Xenopus tropicalis: one gene and its partners. The protein of the gene in region 2 binds, or shares a complex with, the protein of the main gene of each other region. Links are inferred from orthologs where the notes say so. Each region holds a gene or a part of one and is shown on either strand. Other genes may lie near its edges. The genes, in order: tmem67, ahi1, tctn1 and tmem107.

Region 1 (5,843 bases), on a different chromosome or scaffold from region 2:
CCCCCAAGAGTGTCACTGTTTGGAATTCCTAGTGCTGTTTATCTGCCTACTACCGAAAGAGAAGTGGCAAAACACCAGCCTTTTGTAAAAATATGAGACACATTCAAATAAACAAAGTGCAAGGTTGACACAACAGTAATATTGGTGATAAAAATGTTTGCCAAGGGTTGTCAAATCAACACTATAACTGGCTGTAAGCTAGTATAATGTGGACTGCTAGGCTATCTTTGTGTCTATAACACTGGTGCATCACAGACATCCTGCAGTACCATCAGGACTGCATTGGCTTTAAGCAACACCATCCCATGGGACAGTAAGCCGCTAATTTTGGATCAAAAAATTATACCTTGTTAAATTACATATTATGTAATTTTGATACTGGTTAAAAAATACAACACATATTTTAAAATGTGCAGTTTAAACAGTGTAATTAGAAATAAGAAGTACACCATAAAAATCATGACAAAATCCCTTTAAAGGGATCCCATCTAATTGAACTGGTTTATGTATAATCACATACATCAATCATATAAATGTCCATAGAATGTACCTTGGTTAACAAACATTTCATGGTACTGGAGGTTCAGGTTCAGGACTGGCACAGGAAGGAGATTCTGCTGCTTCTCATTCCCTGGGTAGGCCAGATACACATCATAGAACACAGGCTCGGGGTGGTCACGCAGGAGCTTAGAAACACTAATTCTACACTGCAAAGGAATGATATGACCAAGTGAACACGGGTAGCAAAATATACTGTGTGTGTATGTGTAGTTATGTATCTCTTTGTGGGCACACAGGAACACACACACATAAATACACATACTGCCCAGTTGCAATGTACTGTACATGCAAGTATAAATAAGGATTAGGTGTCCAAACTGGTTTCCACTGAAAGCCATTGCTACAGTACATTCCAAAAGAAGATACATTGGTAAAGTGGCAGCTCCTTATTCTTTACTTTCAGCTGGATCCTAATTAGAAACATCTCACTAAACAAACAGGACATAAAACTGCTTAAAGGGGCACTATGCCTAAATACACTTTTTTTCAACATAAGCCAACTAAGGCCAATGACAGACGAGGATAAATCTCCTCTAGCGGCAGCGACTAATCTCGTTTAACTTAATGAAGTTATATATTTGCCTTTTCTTTCAATTATTGTTAATTATGAAGCACATATAGATTATTTTGTTTTTATGCATCGCTTCGGCTTTCCGAAGTCACAGAATATACAAGTTCCAATGAGTCGTGTGAGAGAAATTACATCACTAAGCACCGATTGTAGCTGATGACATCATTAAGTACTATTTATAAGAATATAATTTACAGGATATTTATTTGCTCTTGTATTTAGAGATATATTTAATGCTTACTTCTTGTTTATACGTTGTTCCAAAGCTGAAAGCAGCATCTATCCTGGCCACAATATCAGGACACAACTGCAAGGAAAAAAAAAAATTGTGCAGTGGGTGAGTTTGGTGTTTTGGGGTGGGAAATGTATCCCTTACTGAACAGTTCCCTTACATTTAAATGCAGAGCTGGGCTTAGTACCACAGAATAAGAATGCTGACATATCTATTGTACTGCTCTGTACTGATGATGATAACGTTCTTCTCTGAAGTGTCATGTCACCATCTACTACATTGCGGCCCCATATCTCTTGATCTATAAATTTTCATAAAAATAAAAATGTAAATACCTGCAGTAGTCCTCCAGCCAATGATTGCCATTTTATAAAATTCCCTCGAACGTCATACACAGCCGCTAGAAACTGCAGTTTGGTATTTTCTACCTAGGAAGGAAGCACATCAGATTCCTATTTGTATCTGTGGGCTGCCTGGGACTGTCACATACAGGGTATATTTCTACATTGCCACCATGATACAAAAAGTGCCACAGAACCAATGTTGAATCACTTATACATTTGTAATTCAAATGCTGCAAAAGAATCCATCCATGCATAAATATTAGAACAAGCTGTTCAGCTTTCCATTGTAATGGGCCAGTGTCTCACTCCAGCTCAATTTTGGTGGCCTTTTCATACCTCCTCACTTTCTTTAAAAGTATAGCTTGTGGGAACTGGAGAGGACACAAGAGTCCTGGAAGCCAGTCCAGGCTGGTCACCATAGAAGAGCCATGGCAGATTTGTTCGCCTGTAGAAGACATGATATTTACTCTTGTAAATTTTCCAGTGGGCAGTGCTTTTTTTTTTCTACCAACAAAAAGAAAACACACTTGCCAGTATGAAAGGGAATGGATAACTCCTAGACCTGCTGTGCTTGTAAATATGTACTGGAACAGACCGCAAGCGTCAGCACTGGAAATACTTGTAGAATGCATGTTCATGACACACATGTTCCCCAGAGCTTGGCATGATGTTTGATTACTGTACATCTATGGACGGAAGAGAAATAAAGGCACCATGTTACAAGCTCTTCTGCAATTCAGTTAAACTATATTTTGTAGAAGGTCTTACATCTAATGTAACACTTTGGGCAGATTTATCAACATTGATTTTTTTTTGTGTTTGTTTTTATTTTTGTGGTTTAAGAGGTTTTTGAAACCACAAATAAACTATTTTCCGCTAAACCCACAAATGTCTAGTCATTTATTAAAACACTGTATCACAAATAATTACGTTTGCCATTTGTTTGCATTTTCTAATTTGTATCCGTTTTCTAAAACCTAAGCTTTATGCTTAGCATGAGTTCAGCTACTAAGTAACTATCAACTTATGTATCAAATTGAAACAATTAAAAAAAGTCACTGATCTGACTCAATGAGCTTCTTCTGGGAAACAGGAGAAGGGTAAAAAAACCAAATTTGTCAAAACTCACATTTTCGAAAAAGCAAATGTATCTAGCAAGGGCCAAACATCACAAAGATAAAGGCTTGTTGCCAGACAGATCACTGCAGGGCCCCATTATAATCTGATAATTGCTTTGCACTAAAAAAAATGAAATCATCCTTATTTGGCCCACGATTTCACTGGGCAAATCAAGTAAAGATCCAATTGTTTGACAACCTTGCCAGCTTTAGAAAAAAAGCTATTTAAGAGAATCTTACCAGACAAGCTGCAGCCGATGCTTGCAAATGCGTGGCAAACCATTCTGATCGCAATATCAAACCCTTAAAGAAAAAAGGTTAGATACATTCTCAGGGTTTCCTACTTTATGTAAATTTGCAAGCAAACACATCAACACAATATAGGGTCTCACCAGTTGGCTGTAATGAACAGTCAGAAGAGCTTTGGACAGGATACTCCCCGCTGCATTATAGCATATGCCTCCAGTCTAGAAAATATGTAAGTAAATAAAAAAAATGTTGCATGAGCTTCTATTTTTCACTGGACACATTTTCAAATTTGAGCAAAATCCACAAAAAAATTACATCATAAGAAAGTTGTCACCTTCAATTGCCCACTGCTCTAAAGTCATATGACTTTAAAGAAGAACTAAACCCCCCAGGAACAAAAGCCCCCCTCAACTGCTCTCCATCGCCCCCCTTCACCTCTCCCTTCTCGCACAGCCTATTACTTTGAAAAGTTTGTGTAGCCAAGAGGAGGCAGAAGCTGAACTTGTCAATTAATTTTTACTGAAGTGTGTAAGGGATCAGATTCACTTCTCTCAGTCTGCAAAAAACTGCAGGCTAAGAGCAGCGGAGCAAATGCTCTGTGTGCTCTCAGCCTAACAGTCAGGCTTTGGTTTAGCCAGGCACTTGGGATTTAACAATATCTTGCAAAAGCGTTGAGGTTCTGCAAATTCTCAACAGAAACCTGAATTTGGCAAGTCCCTAATACATAGTGAGTGCTAGTTACAGTTGCGCTATGACCCTAAATGACTTTCTTACCATAATATTTGGCTGGTTACAGCTGCATGAGTTACTCCTGTTGATAACCGTGTGATGGCACCGTTCACACCTAGACATACAAAAAGAGCAAAATATTAGAGCAATGAAAACATACACAAACTCAGGTAGAATAACTGCGCAAACCACTGGTACAAACATACACAATGGCAATCTGTATATTCTGGCAAATGCTGTAACATTCTATAGACAGTCAATTTTTATTGAGACTGTTTTCAGCTGTTTGGGCATCACTTTACTTAACATGGCAGGGCCTAGAGCACAAAGAAATGTAAAAATATGCCTCTTAGAGCACATTTACACTGCACATGCTAGTACCCACAAGTAACTACAGTACCCACAAGTGCACTTTAATGGTTTCAAGTGATTACCATTAAAGTCAATTAAGGGTCAATTAACAGCATTTTGCCACTTACCAAGCTGGAAATCATACAGACAGCAAAACATTGTGACTTCTTGATAATAATATGGGTTAAGTAAACTCACCTGTTTCCTAGGGTGTTGGCAGCAGTGAAGGAAGGTTCAGTCCCATCGCAGTCAATGCATTCTGCTTCTAACAGCAAGGAGCCATTCACATCTCTTTCCACTAAAATACAAATTATGTGCTATATTACTCTGCCTGTGATTTTGTGACAAGTGCATTTTAACTGTCCATGTATGCCTCCATGTGAGGGACACAACATGCTAGCTGGAAAAGGAACGCTGGAACTGTTCACATCTTCTGGAAATGAACACTTTATCATTATTGGAAAGGGATTGCATAAACCTTGGCATGTAGCCACTGAATTAATCTTGACTGGTACATGGGGTATCTGTAGATGTGCAAGAATCTGCTTTTACAGCTCATCACTGGCTTTATATATCTCCATCGGAGAAAGACTGCACATTTGAATGTTTTTTCCATGAAAATAAGTTGTGTCATTATAGCTACTGTCAAGCAGTACAGTTGGATTCTGGAGCTGCATATGCATCTTTTTTATGGATGGAATTAGAGAACTTTACCTACAATTTTAGTCAACCAAACTCCTTAGCACAGGATTGGAGAAGAGCATGGATAAGTAGGCACCAGTTTATTAAAATGCAAAATATCCTACTTACCCAAAATGTTTCCTGGAGGACAGAGGCAATTCCCATTTGAGTTCAGCCCATTGGGGCATTTAATACAACTCCATCCATCTGCTGTTACACCCTATAATGATTTTAGTCAAAGAAGACAAAATCAAAACAGTTAGACACTTCTTAAGAGGGAAATGCTACCCTTTCTAGGGTTTCATATACTTTCCAGAAATGTTAAGTAAAATGTATTGGTATATATTCCTCCCAGGGAGACCTAATTATCTGCCTATTTCTCTGGGAGCATTGCTATTATTGGGGAGCTAAACCCTCTGATTATATACCCAAATAGCTTGTCAGGTGCAATTGCGGCAAGAGCCCTACCTTGTATAGGGATCATTATACAATTGTAAAAAAATCCAGTAGCACACTGAAAAGGTAAATCTATAAAAAAGTGTTTATTTAGCCCAAATACATATAGAACAAAGCAATATTGCGGGCCCCTCCAGGCCCTTTCTCAAGCTGTCTTAGCTTATTTCTGCGGGGGCATCCATATTAGTCCTCAACCGAGCAGCCAGTTAATGTACATGCTTATTCTGATGGCACACATGCCCCATGGCAGAAAAATGCTGGCAAAGATGCTCCTGACTGGCATTTTGAGCCAGAAAAATGACTGCATTTTTGTGGTAAGTGGCAATTCCAGCACTATCATGCTTTTCCCATTCTGGTATGTGTGCCATAGCCCCATGTGGAGGTGCTGCCAGAGTATAAACCCTGTGTGCCATAGCAGTGAAGCAGTGGTTAAATAACATTACATACCATTAGTAGCACGATGATGTGATGTTTGAACTGAAAATTCATCATAATAAAAAAATATAAAAATTACCAGACTCTCAGGGCACCGCTCACAGTCTCCTGTGGAA
Region 2 (6,501 bases):
CTTAAAGGAGAAAAAAAGTCAAAATCTATTAAGCACACTATTAAATAGTACTACTATTGCTGTGTAAAAACGCTATATTCCTGGCTTGCCTAATGAAAGATTTACAGAGATCCACATACTAGAACTTACATACTTGTTTCAGTGAACGGCGCCGCCATCTTGTCCAGCGTGTCTGTATGGGCTGAAAAGCACAAACCAGCTCCCCGCTCCTGTCACAAAGATTCTGCAGCTCCTGCCACAAACCCCCCCCCACTCCTGCCACAAATCCTCTGCCGCTCGCAGCACCTGCCCCCCTGCTTCCCCCTCCTCCTTGTCACAGAGTTTGGCGACGCTGCGTCGCCATGGCAAACGGACGCTCCTGCCCTGTGCACATGCGCCGCCTGCAGTAACAAGTCACCAAGTCTTGAAGGAGCGATGCATTATGGGAATCTTCTCTACCCAGCTCATCGGTTTTTTTTCCTGTTTGGCTTCTGATCTTCTGAACGGGTGAAGTATGAGGAGACTTAAGGGCACTATTGAGACAACTGAAGGTATGCCTGCAGTTTAGGATTAACTCTTTATTAGCCTTTCCTTCTCCTTTAAGGTGACATGTCAACTTTAAGGATGTTTCATGTAAAGTGGTGTCAGGCATTGAATTGTAAATAATGGAGAAAGGAATACCTGGCAAAACATATTTGTCCTATTGGGTCAGCCTTGCACCTGGCCCCCTCCAGCAGGCAATGTTTCAGCTTAAAATACAATATTAGTGTAGGCCACAAGTTTACTTCATGAAATGTGAGTATAATAAGTAGAAAAATGACAGAAAGAATCAAGTCCTGGGAAAAAAAAACACTGAAGGCGTCCTAAAGTATGTGGTATCACTGAAGGTTGTGATAGATGTTTCTTCTTTCAGTCCTCAGTTTATCAATAGTCTCAAATATCTATTTTCTGCAAGTCCCATATCTTAAATAAAGGCTATCACACTATCTCTGTGGACAGCGATAAAATACACTTTCTGTCACAGGGGCCAACAAGCAGATCATACATTAAAGGAGAAGGAAACGTAAAAACTAAGTAAGCTTTATCAGAAAGGTCTATGTAAATACACCCATAAGCACTCACAGAAACGCGAGTCCTCTATCAAAAGAAACACAGGATTTCTTGTCTCCTTTTTTGTAAACATGTTCTTCAGGTATCGGACTTCCTCTCTTAAGCAAACTGAGAAATCTTCAAGGGCTCTTTACTCAGGTATGGTAATGCTTTCTGCGGAATCTATTGGCAGTAAAATGCCAAAATGACTTTCACTCTCCTTTAAACCTAGGGAGGCTTTTTGAAGGAGGATTGCATCAACTTGCTGATGCATGCAGGATATTCAAACCTCTCTGACAGATACTGGGCTAATTTTTGGTCACAGCAGGCCCTTTCATAGTAACATAGTAACATAGTAACACAGTAAGTTGGGTTGAAAAAAGACATATGTCCATCAAGTTCAACCATAATGCCTATATATAACCTGCCTAACTACTAGTTGATCCAGAGGAAGGCAAAAAACCCCATCTGAAGCCTCTCTAATTTGCCGCAGAGGGGAAAAAATTCCTTCCTGACTCCAAGATGGCAATCGGACCAGTCGACACACAAGCTGCAGAATGAGTCCAGAGGGGCAACGTTGGCACCTTTAATAGCCCCCATATAACAGCCCTAATGCGCTGAGTGGCAGCCATCATAGCACCACAGCTTGTTTAGAAAAACATTACATTTGAAACTAAAAACACAGAATTTCCCACCACTGGGTAAGAGAACTCAGCACTGTAGTTAGATTTATATTTTTTGTGCATACTTCTAGTGCATTTGATATAAGGTTAATTCACCAGAGAAGGAAAATTAGAGTTACAGTACCACCAGACCTCCACCTGTTGTGGACTACTAAATTCAGATACAAGCTGATGCCTACTGTAACAATGCGCACAGTAACATCCCGATGCGGGACAGTCCCTATTTCAACAGCTCAGACCGGATTCTTACTGAAAAGTCCCTCATTTCACTTTCATCTCCTGCACTGAATGCTAAAAAAGATACAATGTTTCTGAAACTTAATTAAACAAGCAGCTTTTGGCAGAGAGCCCAGAAAAGTTAACAAGCAACACGAGCACTTAGATACAATTGTAACTAATAAGCTAAACAGTAGTGATGTGCAGGTCTACTATTTGTCAACCCACACCCGACCCTAACCCGTCCCTTCTCCACCGGCACCTGACCTGGCCTGCAGCTTCATGTCTATTTACAGATTTTCAGAATGTAAGCTCTTGCGAGCAGGGCCCTCCCCCTAGTGTCTCCGATCCTCATCCAATGTAACTGCAAACCATTTTTGTGTATTGTTTATATATACATGTTAACTGTTATGTCTTTTGTACCACTCTATTCTGTAAAGCAATGCGTAAATTGATGGTGCTATATAAATACTAATAATAGACCTGATCCCACCCCACCAATGACATTACTGAGGGAGTGGGCATGGCACGCGCCTATAAATAGACGCTGCCAGATCCGGTATTGGGGCTCCGTTAGGCTGCAGGCGGGGAGGAAAGCAGAAGGGCTTGACCCAACCAAAACCTGCTTTTGATGTTGCACTGCCAGCCCGAATCAGTGGGTAAACCCGCACATCACTACTAAATAGGTCTCTTGGGGGGAACTGAGACATACAGCTTAAAGGGCAATTTCACATTTTTAAGCAAAACTGTAATAACAAATAAAACATGACCCCCAAACCCCCCAAAAATTGTTCAAATTTTAAATAACCTGCCAAATATGGTAAAAATGGGAGTGGTATTTAGGGGGTGTGGTCACAAAAACGGGCGTGGTCAAAAAATTGCAATATGCACTGCATTTCTTTTTGTCCCTCTTTAGATTTTTCAAATACTGGGAGGTGTGCTTGGAGTCATTTCGCTATAGGATTACAGATGTCACCACCAGTGTTCCAGGGAACCGGTTTATGGTAAAACATTATCAGTCACTTGATCCTTCCTGGATTCAATCCCCCAGCCACCAATCACTATTATCATGGTACTCTGCAAAGATAAACAGTCTTCAATCTGCAGCCTCAGATCATAACACAGTATGACCAAAAAGCTAACAGAACAAAATAAAAAACAATTTAATCAAAATCAGGATAGTAGTGCACATGTTAGCAGTAGGCAAATTTGCACAATCACAGTCATTAATAACTAATTAGCTATTGTCATAGTGCGCCGCAGCGTCTACGGCAGGTCAAATAATACAATTAATACATATTACAAATGGGTACAGCTGTATTTTTTTTAATAACTTTAGAAAAACAAAATCATACTGTAGAAATGTTCTCATTTACCACATCTGCACGTCAAGGTATTGCATTCCGCCCAATAGTCCCGCTTTTTCTCAACGCAGCCCGCAGCCTCGGGTCGCAGCTTAAATGTCCCGCAACACTGTTTACGTCCTGCTCCTTGACTACCTCAGAACAGCTAATCCCCAATTCTCATCTCGCGAGAATGCGGCGTCACAACTACACGTACTAGGGACGCACCATTCAGTGGTTTTAGGGACAGTAGAGCGACGCGCGTTGGTGTGAGGGTTGGCGCAGCAGGGCGCTTGTCTGCTCGCATATTACTTTCGCTGTGCTGTCAGGGAGCTCCTACTTTTGTCAGGGATTCAAAAATAAATACTTTTTATTGCACAATTTAGGGTAAGAAAAAATGAATTTAGGAGAAAATGGGTGAAAATAGCCATAGTAATCAATAATTAAGCTCTTTTACCATTGTGGCGTCAGAGAGTCCCAGAAATATTTCACAATTTTAGGACAACTAGGGCTGATTTAGGAATAGGTAATTAAACTGGGATTTTGGCATTTTGTCCCTTGTTTAAGAGGGCATTGCTTTTCACAGTTTAGGGGGAAAAAAAAGTTATACTTTGTTGAGATCCCCATCACCATGAAAGCTTCATTTGTATGGAAATTTAATGAACTCTTATTATTACAGAAACAAACTAGAACGGAAATATCTGTTTCTATATCAGATACAATTTCGTTTAATAACCTCACTAAAACAGACCCCTCCACACTATGACCCCTAACACTGAAGGTAGTAACAGGTAACCTAAAAGCACTCAGCACAAAAATGAAAAAACAGAATAACGCTAATATACAAATACTAATGCAAGAAATTCACAATTTAGAGAGCAAACACAAGACAACACTGGCCAACAAAATACAAACCGAGTTAGAAACTGAAAGAATTCAGCTAAACACCTACTAGACTAGTTCACCGAAAAAGCATATTTAAAATGTAAAAGAGAATACTACGGCAAATATTATATATAAAAAATTGGCAAATAAACCATCTAAAATCCTATCCAGACTAATAAAAACGCAGAAAAACAAAACTTTTATCACACAAATTAAAGATTCAAAGCAAAAACTTAATCATACCTACCCAGATATAGCAAAATGTTTTAAGGAATTTTACCAGACCCTATACAATCTAAACCCAGGGACCCACAACCAAAACAAAACGCTAAAAAAAGAGCAATACCTAAAAAAGTTAGACCTCCCCAAAATCAAACCATATACAATCACAACTAGAAGCACCATTCTCAATAGAAGAAATAACAAAAGTAATTAATTATCTACCATCCAACAAGAGCCCGGGACTAGATGGTTATAGCGCAGGTTTCTATAAAGAATTCAACAACAAATAATCCCCATATTATTAAAACATTTTAACTCAATATCAGACAAGAACGCAAATTACTGTTTTGCATAAACCTAACAAAGACCCAGCAGTATGCTGCAGTTATAGGCCCATTTCACTTCAATCTGGACCAAAAACCATATGCCAAAATGATCGCCAGCAGGCTACAAATCATCACCGCTTTACTAATCCACCCTGAACAAACAGGGTTTGTGAAAGGCAGAGAGGTCAAAGATTATACCACAAAAATAATTCATGTCTCTAGCCATAAAGAGGAAAACACCTTCACTTTTTTTTAACAACCAACGCTGAAAAAGCGTTTGACAGGGTCAACTGGGCATATCTAAAAGCTACATTACAAACCTTTGAGTTCGGACCAGCATTAACAGCACAAATTATGGCACTTTATCATGCACCTTACGCACGAATAAAGGTAAATGGTATATTATCCCCAGCCTTAGAAATCTCAAACGGGACCAGACAGGGGTGCCCCCTATGCCCAATTTTATTTGTGTTAGTCATGGAGACATTGATAACCTCCATCAGACAAAATGTAGACATAACAGGCCTCAAAGTTGGCACCCAAGAATATAAAGCAGCAGCTTTTGCTGATGATCTACTGCCAGTAATCACTAACCACCAAATATCCCTCCCAAATGTAATTATAGAATTTAACAAATTCAGCGAAGTATCTAATTTCAAAATAAATTCCTCAAAATCTGAAATTCTCAACATAAATATCCCATTGGTTCAAGCACAGAATCTACAAACTTCTTTCCCCTTTAAATGGCTGAATTTAAATCTGAAACTATAAAATATCTAGGAATCAATTTAGCCCCCCACCCAGGCAGACTCACCAACGAAATTGAGTCTATGCTAAACCAATGGCAAGGCAAATCAATATCATGGTTCGGTAGAGCCAATGTGCTAAAAATGATGGTCATGCCTAAACTATTATACCTCTATCAAATGATTCCAATTAAGCTACCAGAGAATTTTTTTCTTAGGATCAAATCGTTATTCTCACAATTTCTTTGGGCCAAAAAGCACCCAAGAATTAAATATGAATACCGGATAGCACAAAAAGCAGATGGAGGATTGACACTTCCCTGCCTGGAAAAATACTATATAGCAAACCACATGCACAGAACATGTCTCTGGAAATGGAGACAATCTTTAAATTATGGAAAGAAGTTGAACAGCATGAAACAAAATATAATCTATGTAACCTAATGCACCTGAATTTCTCTGACTTACCTCAACAACTCAAAAACCATCCCACAATAGGAGCCAATTGGAACTATTTACAACAAAGACAAAATATTTTGCCATTCCCATCACCAGAATTAGAACTATTGAATAACCCTAATTTCCCACCAAGTTGTGAAAAGGGACAACTAGACAAGTGGTCAACAATAAAAAAATACTCCCACTAAACTACACCACTTAATTGAAAATGGAAAAATAATCCCGTTCCATACAATACAAAAAAGATGGGGCCTTCACCCTAGAAACCGATGGAACTATATACAGGTATCCAACTGAAATCAGTAGGTTTGGAAGGAGTCATTAGACCATTTACAAGTTGGGAAACACTATTACAACAACAAAAACTAGCCCACCCCATTGCAAAATTTTACAAAAAGTTAACAAAACAGGACCAAAAAGGAAAAATGCAATACATGGTCCAATGGGAAAACAAACTAAATATAACTCTGCATATAGAAACATGGGGAGAAATAATGACCTCAGCACATAAGGGTACAAGATCTAACAGATCACAAGAGGCAAATTTTAAACT
Region 3 (5,843 bases), on a different chromosome or scaffold from region 2:
GCCACACGTGGCGTAGGGCTGATATTTTGGGCAAGCGGAAAAACGCTTGGCGAAAATTCAGCCCTACGCCTGCTACTTGTGCCTGCACTCGAATGAATGAGATACGCTCGGGTGCAGACACATGTAGCCGATATACGCATGAAAATGCGTGAGAATGCAAAGTCTCGCATTTTCATGCGTATATTGGCTACATGTGCCTGCACCCAAGCGTATTCCATTCATTCGGGTGCAGGCACAAGTAGCAGGCGTAGGGCTGAATTTTCGCCAAGCGTTTTTCCGCTTGCTGAAAATATCAGCCCTATGCCACGTGTGGCATCAGCCTTACTGCAAAGGGTCAGCCTGTGTATGGCAATCTTTAAGGAAAAGCTTTAAGATGAACTCTTAGTTAGTCTATGGCAGGGACATCAATGGGGGTACAAGGGCAACTGAGGCCCCACTGCAGAGATTGAAAAAATCATAAACCATAGGTTGCTGAAGGAATAGGGCTTGTGGGTGGGGTTTGTAATTGGGGAGTGGCCAGGGCAGATTAGAGTTAGGGCCCCATATTAACAGGTGGTAGGGTCCACCACCAAAGGGGGCCCAGGTGAATATTGGGTTAATAATTTGGGCCAGGGTGACTATCTGTACAGCTGGCCATATAGTAGTGAATGAATCCAGATAAATGTGTCAGTAGTTTTAGGGTGACAAGCGATCCTACCATTACGGATTACTCAAGGCATTAGTGGTCATTTACTAAGTGCAGGGCAGGGAACAAAGTGTAAAACTGACAGAATCACTTTGCACCCTGCCCAGTACTGCTCTAAATTTCCACAGGTCTCCAAAATGGATTGCACAGACCTGCATTCTACCTTGAATACAGCCTTGCCTGCTTTTGGCACTAGGTGCACAGCAAGACCCCAGACACAAGTGCTTTTTTTAAAAAAAAATATATTATATTAAACGCTATGGTCTAATTTTAGGACAACATTAACTTTATAGGCTCTGACTAAGTGCAGAATATAAGTCCTCTATTTATGTTTAGTAAATAGTTATTTCTTTGTGCAAAAAAAAGAGCTACATAGTACCTACCTGGACAAAAGCATATGTTATCTTTTCCGTAACATTAACAATCTGAGCTTGAGGATTTACCAGAGATCCATATTTTGTCCATCTCACTTCTAAGTCTAATGAAACTGGGATTTTGCAATCAGCCTTTGGTGAAAAACAAATATTAAGAAATTCAGCGATGTGAATATGTAGCAATAAAAAAAAAAACCATAAGAAAACACTGAGCTAAAACAGTTGAAGCTTTTCACACATCCAGTCTACATGTCTCCTGCATTTAAATTCTATTATGAGTCCAGGATGCTGGGAAGGATCCTGATTGGGCATCTCAGCTCTGTAACATTTTTCTTTTATTATTTCCTTTTTCTCTGTAATAATAAAACAGTACCTAGTAATTGATCCCAACTAAGATATAATTAATCCTTACTGGAGGCAAAACAGCCCTATTGGGTTTAATGTTTTAGTGATTTTTTAGCAGACTTACAATTATGGTGATCTAAATTACAGAAAGACCCCCTTATTCATAGAACCCCAGGTTAGAGCCATGTGCGGACTAATTTTTTTAAAACCCAGACCCCCAATCCGGACCCGTGGCCTGAAATCAAAACCCGCATTTTAACCAGCATGGACCTGCTACCCAACCCTCAACTGCCTTATCCGCAACCTGTTCCGTGACCCGCTTGACAACCATTAAACAGGGAGTTTTATTGCTGCAGACCGGAAGTGATATCTGAAATGGAGGGGGGGGGGGAAATGAGAAAAAAAAGTTTTAAAGTGTCTAAAAGGAGTAAAATATAGATAATGTAAGAAATATAGATAAGACCCGCATCTATATTTGCATCTGAAAAGCCTACCCGCAACCCGCGGGGTGCCTGCTTTTTCTGCAGGTATCCCACGAGAACCCAACCACTGCAGGACTCTACCCCAGGTCCCACACATTCTGGATAACAGGTCCTATACCTGTAAAAAAGATATTTTTTGCAGTGTTATAAATGATTGGAATTGTTTTATGTGTTTGGCTGCTTTATATACCATTATCTATACTTCTGACTGTGACTGCAAACATGTTTGGTGCAAAAACGGAAGTACAGAACGTTACCGTTGCGCTTTGTGGTAATGTAGAAGTGACAACAGTAATTGGTACCCAGTCCAGAACATTCTGTGGCTGAGAATTCCCAAAGGATGCCACATACTCGGGAAACTGTTGCCCTCTCAGCACATTCAAGATGGCAGTTGCTGCAACTTGACATGGTACAGGATACCTGGGGAAATAATCACATAATTACAATTATTCTCTAGTCCATACTGTATAGCAGAGGCCCCCAGATCCTGCTGATCTACAATTACAGAAATCAGTTAGTGGGGAAAGCTTTGCAGTGTCACAGATTATTTTCAGTGCAATAAGCCGCTGTACCTTTCCTAAACCAAACCTGCAAAAATACTATTTATATATACATACACATACATACATATATACACACACACACATATATATATATATATACACTTTATTATGACGAGGAGTACGGCCACAGATCAGTAACCACACATGCGCTGGCATGAAACAACCTGCTGGTAACTCAAATGCAAATCCTTCATCTTTCACTTCCTTTTTACTATGAAAATGTGAGGCAAAGGGGATACAGGAAACATTATAGACTGATGTATGTATCAGTCCAGGCTACATGGTTCCTGGGTGCATTATATTCTGGTTAAATATGGTTGCATATAAACTGGCTACATTTTCAGTGACTTTTATTGAGGCTTATCTGATGTATCTGTAACGGGGTGTTTCATTAAAAAAGGAGAGAATTCTTGCACATATTGCACCCAATTTACCCACCCATGTGCTGGGCTACATCAGGCTGATCTTACTGGTGCTGGGTCTGAAGGGGCTCAGTTAGCAGCTTTTATCAGCCCATGTTTGGCCAGCTTTAGTTTTTAGAACAAGATTCATTAAGTCATATTCAAGTTGTAGCACATTTATAGCTTTCATTCCCTAGTGTTAATATTACTGCTTAACCATGCCCAAATCATATAAGGTTTAAGGCAGCTCTGCTATTATACAGTGTTTGAGTTACTTACTGCAGTTTACAGCCGGATACCATGTTGTACCCAAACAGCACTGCTGCCCTGTTGCCTTCTTCTGTTAGACAGTTTTGGCCAGCTGAGCTTCGTAGAATAGTTAGTTGGGCAAACCTGTTTGTGTTCTGAATAATGCCTGATTTATACAACTGTTAAGAAATATATATATATTATGAATACACAAAGGAATACACGTATTTAGATCTATTCATTTTAAGCTCTTCATTTAGCTCTATTCATTTTAAGAACAGACCTGGCAAAGCTCTAAACTGCGCCATGTGTTTAGTGCCTATTGGTAATAAATTATTAGGCCCAACTACATCTATAATTTGTTTTCTAATTTAAGTTAATTTAACTGGATTTGTACACCACATTGGAAAAGCATACTGGCCACATACCTGCTTCACTGCCAAAAGGATACTGACTGACCCTTGATGTGGCTTGATAATAAAATCTAGTAGGCAGTGGGCCTACACAGGCCAACCAGGAACGGTATTTGACCAATTTGGCCCATAGGCTGAACAAGCAGATTCTGTTTGAGGGGCCATATATGGCAAGCTTGTCTCTCTGCTGTACACAATTTTATTGTTACACACACACACACACATATATATATATATATATATATATATATATATATATATATATATATATATATATATATATATATATTTGGGCTGTTTTTTGCTCTAGTCCTCTAGTTTTCTAATATAGATGCATATTCATTATAGTAGTTAGACAGTTGGGTCCGTGCCACAAGAAAAGGATATTGTGGTTCCTTAAAGCCAGCAATGACTGGTAATCCAACTATATAGCCAGGGTTTCCACTGAGAAGAGATGGGAAGGTTCCATCCTGTAATCAATAAAACAATTTCAAAATCAAGTTTAGTTGGATCCAGAGAGATTTGGTATAACCATAATACTGCCTGCCATCATTACCAACTCTCCTTAATTGCATCATTAATGAGCCTATTCCCATCAAAGTGTGATTGGTGAAAATGACTGCCCGCAAGCAGCAACAGCTACTGGGTTAGGTTAATGATTTGTGAGTGGTAGAGAAAAACAAACACTGAATTCCAATTAATCAACAATTATCTTGTATGTAAAGACAAGTGTTGCTGCAGCACAGATTCCATTTGGTCTAAGCAATGATAGGCTGAGCCTATGATATCCAATGTGTGAAAATAAGCAGCAACAAAAGCGAGTAAGGTGGTAGCACTTGATTAATCTGTACAGCCCTACCACTCCCCAAATCATTCACTCACTATTGCCTTTACTATCCTGTGGAATGTTTTAGATTACCTTTTGGCACATCATTATATGCGATAAGCGTATTTTACTGGGACTGAAAATTCATGTGTCAGCTATGTACTGTAATACAGGGCAGAGGCACCACTTGTATAAGGGAAACTGCTTAACATGGCCAATATAACTGTCTCCAGAAAGACAAGTTACAGTAAAAAAAAAATATAGTCACTTGGGTGCAAACATTTTTGTAATTTTATCCTATATATATTAAAGGATAAGGAAAGGCTAATAAAGAGTTAATCTCAAGCTGCAGGCATACCTTCAGTTCTCTCAATAGTGCCCTTAAGTCTCCCCATATTTCTCCCATAGCCTCATAGGAAAAAAAAATGCTGAGCTCTGTAAAAAAAAAGTTCCCATAATGCCTCGCTCCTGCACCAAGACCAAGACCGGTGTACATGCTCAGTTTGTAAGACTATGAGGAAGCTTCCTGCTGATTGGCTAAGATCACACATTCCTAAGGATGGGGGGGGGGGAGTTTTTAGCATTCTTGAGGGAGGGGGAGCAGGAGAGGGGAGAGGGCTGCGTGTCTCTGGCACAGGAAAACAAAAGAGAAAAGAAATCCTGTTTCTTTTGACAGATAAGATAACTTTCTGTGAGTGCTTATGGCTGTATTTACATAGACCTTTCTGATAAAGCTTACTTAGTTTTTACCTTTCCTTCTCCATTGATAATTCTAAATAGAAATATAAAATATGCAAAATAAAATCTTTAAAAAAAAAAAAAATATATATATATATATATATAAGAGCTTTCAATCTTAAAAGTATTATTCAAAGCACAGGACTGATCCGATTTTATATGCACACACTTATACATTCTATATAGTCACTGCAAAAAAAAACAAGAGAATAAAACACACCTGAACAAAAGAAACTTTAAAACTTTGCTGAACTGTTCCCAGAGTAGCGTTAATTACTCCCAATATGAGGAAAGCATTTACAGCTGTAATTGCTCCTTGTTCTGTGTATAGGATCTGGTAACTCCCCTGAAAGGCAAGCATTAGAATTCAGTTTTATTTGCTCTACTTTCATGTTTATAGTGTATAAAGAATCAGTGACGTCCTGATACACTGTCATAAACCGGAGTAACAAATGCTAAGTGAGCAGCCCCTCTTGTACTGGTTATAGGCTGTATTTTTTGCATGTAAATCTGTATGTTCAATGTATACACCCATTTATTATACAGTACTGCAGAAGGTGTTGGCTCTTTATAAATTTGTGTCAACAATAATCATATAAAGGCTTCTGTATCAGACGTGCTGTCATGAAAAATGCTAATACTTTTAAGGGAAATTATACCGACCAGGTATGAACTGTACAATAAAGATTGTGCTCATAGAGTAAAGAAAGCAGGCTTTTATGTCTTAAAGGAACAGTAACACCAAAAAATGAAAGAGCTTTAAAGTA
Region 4 (6,378 bases), on a different chromosome or scaffold from region 2:
ATCCAACTACACCTACCCCAGTACTCCCCCCTTCCCACTAAGGCCTAGTACTGATCCAACTACACCTACCCCAGTACTCTCACCTTACTACTTCCCACTGGGGCCTAGTACTGATTCAGCTACTTCCCTCCCAGTACTCTCCCTTCTCTACTTCTTAGAGGTTTCTTTTCCAACCTCCCCCCCCCCCAGTACTCTCCCCTTACTACTTTCCACTGAGGTCTCTCTTTCAACTACTCCCCCCCAGTACACTCTCCTTACTACTTCCCACTGGGGCCTAGTACTGATTCAGCTACTCCCCCCCAGTACACTCTCCTTACTACTTCCCACTGGGGCCTAGTACTGATTCAGCTACTCCCCCCCCCAGTACACTCTCCTTACTACTTCCCACTGGGGCCTAGTACTGATTCAGCTACTCCCCCCCCAGTACACTCTCCTTACTACTTCCCACTGGGGCCTAGTACTGATCTAAGCACTTCTCTGCTGGTTTTTCTTTCACTGCCTTCCTCCCAGTGCGCTGCTGTTTCAGTATTTGCATTCCACTAGTTCAAGCTCCTCATCCTGCCGCTTACACTTAGTATCAACTTATTCCAACAGCTTCCTCCTTATAACTCTGTCCCCTGACTGCTTCATAGGAGAATCTTCTTCCATCAAAACCTCCTCAAGAAGAAGATCTTCATCTGCCATCTGATCTCCATCTGCTTCTCCCCACCATCTCCTTGATCCAACTGCTTCTTCCCTGAGAGACCTTCATCTCCTTCTTCCCACCATCTCCTTGATCCAACTGCTTCTTCCCTGAGAGACCTTCATCTCCTTCTTCCCACCATCTCCTTGATCCAACTGCTTCTTCCCTGAGAGACCTTCATCTCCTTCTTCCCACCATCTCCTTGATCCAACTGCTTCTTCCCTGAGAGACCTTCATCTCCTTCTTCCCACCATCTCCTTGATCCAACTGCTTCTTCCCCGAGAGACCTTGATCTCCTTCTTCCCACCATCTCCTTGATCCAACTGCTTCTTCCCTGAGAGACCTTCATCTCCTTCTTCCTACCATCTCCTTGATCCAACTGCTTCTTCCCTGAGAGACCTTCATCTGCTTCTCCCCACCATCTCCTTGATCCAACTGCTTCTTCCCTGAGAGACCTTCATCTGCTTCTTCCCACCATCTCCTTGATCCAACTGCTTCTTCCCAGAGAGACCTTCATCTGCTTCTCCCACGATCTCCTTGATCCAACGCTTCTTCCCTGAGAGACCTTCATCTGCTTCTCCCCAGTATCTCTTTCTATCGATCTATCAGTTTACCTTACTACACCTTCTCTCTCCCTCCTGCTGTTCTGATCAATCAGTAATCGGAACAATAGAAAGGCATTCGTAAGCCAGCCATACACGCACAGATGTTATCATCTCGTACAATATTCGGTGCGTGTATGGTGACTTGTAGAGGCGACCAATATCCCAGAGGCTGTGGATATCGGTTGAAGGCGCCATTGAAGGCGCCCGAGCAAAATCTACGTTCAGGGCTGAAGGAGGTAGAATTTCTATTGTTTCTACCTCCTTATCTGATGATTCAGCCCTGAACTTCAGCTACGTGTATGGCCACCTTTACTTGTATGCTCTCCATCCATTTGGCTTAGGGGCCACTCTTTGGAGAGCGTTCCAGATGGGCCAATGCCTGATTAGAAGATCTAGGCAGTTTGTTATACAGCCCTACACATTTTGGGGAGTGAAAGATAGCTATATCTGTGGGCCCCAGGGTCGGACTGGGGGGGGTGCAGGGCACACCAGGGCTCCCGCCCTAACCCCCCCAACCCCCCACAGGGTCCCCCACCCGACGTCCTCCCCTGAGCTCCCGTAAATTTAACGCCTCAGGGGAGGAACGGTCGGGCAGGGGGAGCGCCGGGATTTGTCCCGGTGTCCCAGCGGCCCAGTCCGACCCTGGTGGGCCCAGATAGTCAAGGGGTATGCACAGGGAGGTGCTGCTTCCCCCGCCCCCTGGAGGGTGGGAAAGAAACAATGTTTCAGGAGCCTAAACCACCTGTATAGAGGATATATAAATCCCTTGTGTAACTTCCCATGCAGTTAATTCCCTCACTGTGGGAAGTAAAGTCATAATGACGTCATTATACCCAGTAATATTCCCAGGGTGCATCAGGCCTGTAGTAAGAAGGTAGCGTGGCCGAGCGGTCTAAGGCGCTGGATTTAGGCTCCAGTCTCTCTGGAGGCGTGGGTTCGAATCCCACCGCTGCCAACTCAGCTTTTTATTTTCCCCCCTGCATCTATGGCTTGATATATTTTCGCTCGAACTGTAACTTCTTTTCGATTAGCCGCCATTGTGGAGGCTTTGCATCTATATATATGTTAGTTTGGGACAGGTTTCATAATCAGGGATGTGTCGTCGCTTTTACGACAAAGCGCTAAAACTTCCAGCTACAATAATGGCGGACTTGCCTTCTGCCCCATGTGACCGGGGCTCAGTAGGTGAATGGTCAGAATCTCCTGAATCCTGCGCGTTTTGGTTAGGACGCTGAGGGGTTGCTAGGCAACGGTAAGCGGCGGGTTTTCGGCTCGGAGATTGGAACGGGTAAGGGTTTTGTTCCAGTAAGTTACTGGTTTAACTGGTCTCTGCCCGGGGAATACTTTGTATGTGAGATATTTAATGGTTAATTTATACAGTATAAGTAGCTATAAAAGTCTGTATATATTATATGAGAGGGTTGCCGGCCTGTATATACAGTAATAGGAGTCAGGGAAGCCTGTATATATTATATGAGAGGGTTGCCGGCCTGTATATACAGTAATAGGAGTCAGGGAAGCCTGTATATATTATATGAGAGGGTTGCCGGCATGTATATACAGTAATAGGAGTCAGGGAAGCCTGTATATATTATATGAGAGGGTTGCCGGCATGTATATACAGTAATAGGAGTCAGGGAAGCCTGTATATATTATATGAGAGGGTTGCCGGCCTGTATATACAGTAATAGGGGTCAGGGAAGCCTGTATATATTATATGAGAGGGTTGCCGGCATGTATATACAGTAATAGGAGTCAGGGAAGCCTGTATATATTATATGAGAGGGTTACCGGCCTGTATATACAGTAATAGGAGTCAGGGAAGCCTGTATATATTATATGAGAGGGTTGCCGGCCTGTATATACAGTAATAGGAGTCAGGGAAGCCTGTATATATTATATGAGAGGGTTACCCGCCTGTATATACAGTAATAGGAGTCAGGGAAGCCTGTATATATTATATGAGAGGGTTGCCGGCCTGTATATACTGTAATAGGAGTCAGGGAAGCCTGGATATATTATATGAGAGGGTTGCCGGCCTGTATATACAGTAATAGGAGTCAGGGAAGCCTGGATATATTATATGAGAGGGTTACCGGCCTGTATATACAGTAATAGGAGTCAGGGAAGCCTGGATATATTATATGAGAGGGTTACCGGCCTGTATATACAGTAATAGGAGTCAGGGAAGCCTGTATATATTATATGAGAGGGTTACCGGCCTGTATATACAGTAATAGGAGTCAGGGAAGCCTGTATATATTATATGAGAGGGTTACCGGCCTGTATATACAGTAATAGGAGTCAGGGAAGCCTGTATATATTATATGAGAGGGTTGCCGGCCTGTATATACAGTAATAGGAGTCAGGGAAGCCTGTATATATTATATGAGAGGGTTACCGGCCTGTATATACAGTAATAGGAGTCAGGGAAGCCTGTATATATTATATGAGAGGGTTGCCGGCCTGTATATACAGTAATAGGAGTCAGGGAAGCCTGGATATATTATATGAGAGGGTTACCGGCCTGTATATACAGTAATAGGAGTCAGGGAAGCCTGTATATATTATATGAGAGGGTCCCTGGCCTGTATATACAGTAATAGGAGTCAGGGAAGCCTGTATATATTATATGAGAGGGTTGCCGGCCTGTATATACAGTAATAGGGGTCAGGGAAGCCTGTATATATTATATGAGAGGGTTGCCGGCATGTATATACAGTAATAGGAGTCAGGGAAGCCTGTATATATTATATGAGAGGGTTACCGGCCTGTATATACAGTAATAGGAGTCAGGGAAGCCTGTATATATTATATGAGAGGGTCCCTGGCCTGTATATACAGTAATAGGAGTCAGGGAAGCCTGTATATATTATATGAGAGGGTTGCCGGCCTGTATATACAGTAATAGGGGTCAGGGAAGCCTGTATATATTATATGAGAGGGTTGCCGGCATGTATATACAGTAATAGGAGTCAGGGAAGCCTGTATATATTATATGAGAGGGTTACCGGCCTGTATATACAGTAATAGGAGTCAGGGAAGCCTGGATATATTATATGAGAGGGTTGCCGGCCTGTATATACAGTAATAGGAGTCAGGGAAGCCTGTATATATTATATGAGAGGGTTACCCGCCTGTATATACAGTAATAGGAGTCAGGGAAGCCTGTATATATTATATGAGAGGGTTGCCGGCCTGTATATACTGTAATAGGAGTCAGGGAAGCCTGGATATATTATATGAGAGGGTTGCCGGCCTGTATATACAGTAATAGGAGTCAGGGAAGCCTGGATATATTATATGAGAGGGTTACCGGCCTGTATATACAGTAATAGGAGTCAGGGAAGCCTGTATATATTATATGAGAGGGTTACCGGCCTGTATATACAGTAATAGGAGTCAGGGAAGCCTGTATATATTATATGAGAAGGTTGCCGGCCTGTATATACAGTAATAGGAGTCAGGGAAGCCTGTATATATTATATGAGAGGGTTACCGGCCTGTATATACAGTAATAGGAGTCAGGGAAGCCTGTATATATTATAAGAGAGGGTTGCCGGCCTGTATATACAGTAATAGGAGTCAGGGAAGCCTGGATATATTATATGAGAGGGTTACCGGCCTGTATATACAGTAATAGGAGTCAGGGAAGCCTGTATATATTATATGAGAGGGTCCCTGGCCTGTATATACAGTAATAGGAGTCAGGGAAGCCTGTATATATTATATGAGAGGGTTGCCGGCCTGTATATACAGTAATAGGGGTCAGGGAAGCCTGTATATATTATATGAGAGGGTCCCTGGCCTGTATTTACAGTAATAGGAGTCAGGGAAGCCTGTATATATTATATGAGAGGGTTACCGGCCTGTATATACAGTAATAGGAGTCAGGGAAGCCTGGATATATTATATGAGAGGGTCCCTGGCCTGTATATACAGTAATAGGAGTCAGGGAAGCCTGTATATATTATATGAGAGGGTTACCGGCCTGTATATACAGTAATAGGAGTCAGGGAAGCCTGTATATATTATATGAGAGGGTCCCTGGCCTGTATATACAGTAATAGGAGTCAGGGAAGCCTGTATATATTATATGAGAGGGTCCCTGGCCTGTATATACAGTAATAGGAGTCAGGGAAGCCTGGATATATTATATGAGAGGGTTACCGGCCTGTATATACAGTAATAGGAGTCAGGGAAGCCTGGATATATTATATGAGAGGGTCCCTGGCCTGTATATACAGTAATAGGAGTCAGGGAAGCCTGTATATATTATATGAGAGGGTCCCTGGCCTGTATATACAGTAATAGGAGTCAGGGAAGCCTGTATATATTATATGAGAGGGTCCCTGGCCTGTATATACAGTAATAGGAGTCAGGGAAGCCTGTATATATTATATGAGAGGGTTACCGGCCTGTATATACAGTAATAGGAGTCAGGGAAGCCTGTATATATTATATGAGAGGGTTACCGGCCTGTATATACAGTAATAGGAGTCAGGGAAGCCTGGATATATTATATGAGAGGGTCCCTGGCCTGTATATACAGTAATAGGAGTCAGGGAAGCCTGTATATATTATATGAGAGGGTTACCGGCCTGTATATACAGTAATAGGAGTCAGGGAAGCCTGTATATATTATATGAGAGGGTCCCTGGCCTGTATATACAGTAATAGGAGTCAGGGAAGCCTGTATATATTATATGAGAGGGTCCCTGGCCTGTATATACAGTAATAGGAGTCAGGGAAGCCTGGATATATTATATGAGAGGGTTACCGGCCTGTATATACAGTAATAGGAGTCAGGGAAGCCTGGATATATTATATGAGAGGGTCCCTGGCCTGTATATACAGTAATAGGAGTCAGGGAAGCCTGGATATATTATATGAGAGGGTTGCCGGCCTGTATATACAGTAATAGGAGTCAGGGAAGCCTGTATATATTATATGAGAGGGTTGCCGGCCTGTATATACAGTAATAGGAGTCAGGGAAGCCTGGATATATTATATGAGAGGGTCCCTGGCCTGTATATACAGTAATAGGAGTCAGGGAAGCCTGGATATATTATATGAGAGGGTCCCTGGCCT

The links.
Region 1: ahi1 (region 2) and tmem67 share a complex: the UniProt entries of both Homo sapiens proteins name them as parts of the tectonic-like complex. The link is inferred for Xenopus tropicalis from reciprocal best matches to the Homo sapiens genes AHI1 and TMEM67.
Region 3: ahi1 (region 2) and tctn1 share a complex: the UniProt entries of both Homo sapiens proteins name them as parts of the tectonic-like complex. The link is inferred for Xenopus tropicalis from reciprocal best matches to the Homo sapiens genes AHI1 and TCTN1.
Region 4: ahi1 (region 2) and tmem107 share a complex: the UniProt entries of both Homo sapiens proteins name them as parts of the tectonic-like complex. The link is inferred for Xenopus tropicalis from reciprocal best matches to the Homo sapiens genes AHI1 and TMEM107.

The regions. Positions count from the first base shown.
Region 1 is NC_030682.2:127,745,364-127,751,206, reverse strand, and holds part of tmem67 (meckelin), read right to left. Parts: coding exon 5,807-5,843; intron 5,057-5,806; coding exon 4,966-5,056; intron 4,454-4,965; coding exon 4,354-4,453; intron 3,920-4,353; coding exon 3,850-3,919; intron 3,294-3,849; coding exon 3,219-3,293; intron 3,130-3,218; coding exon 3,067-3,129; intron 2,395-3,066; coding exon 2,240-2,394; intron 2,154-2,239; coding exon 2,045-2,153; intron 1,793-2,044; coding exon 1,700-1,792; intron 1,440-1,699; coding exon 1,374-1,439; intron 708-1,373; coding exon 551-707; intron 1-550. UniProt on the Homo sapiens protein: Required for ciliary structure and function. Part of the tectonic-like complex which is required for tissue-specific ciliogenesis and may regulate ciliary membrane composition.
Region 2 is NC_030681.2:71,849,983-71,856,483, forward strand, and holds the start of ahi1 (jouberin), read right to left. Parts: upstream 3,525-6,501; 5' UTR 3,344-3,524; exon of another isoform or gene 3,323-3,343; intron 1-3,322. UniProt on the Homo sapiens protein: Involved in vesicle trafficking and required for ciliogenesis, formation of primary non-motile cilium, and recruitment of RAB8A to the basal body of primary cilium.
Region 3 is NC_030677.2:162,901,340-162,907,182, reverse strand, and holds part of tctn1 (tectonic-1 precursor), read right to left. Parts: intron 5,423-5,843; coding exon 5,297-5,422; intron 3,983-5,296; coding exon 3,900-3,982; intron 3,271-3,899; coding exon 3,130-3,270; intron 2,307-3,129; coding exon 2,144-2,306; intron 1,192-2,143; coding exon 1,069-1,191; intron 1-1,068. UniProt on the Homo sapiens protein: Component of the tectonic-like complex, a complex localized at the transition zone of primary cilia and acting as a barrier that prevents diffusion of transmembrane proteins between the cilia and plasma membranes.
Region 4 is NC_030679.2:144,534,792-144,541,169, reverse strand, and holds the start of tmem107 (transmembrane protein 107), read left to right. Parts: upstream 1-2,468; 5' UTR 2,469-2,575; exon of another isoform or gene 2,576-2,592; intron 2,593-6,378. UniProt on the Homo sapiens protein: Plays a role in cilia formation and embryonic patterning. Requires for normal Sonic hedgehog (Shh) signaling in the neural tube and acts in combination with GLI2 and GLI3 to pattern ventral and intermediate neuronal cell types.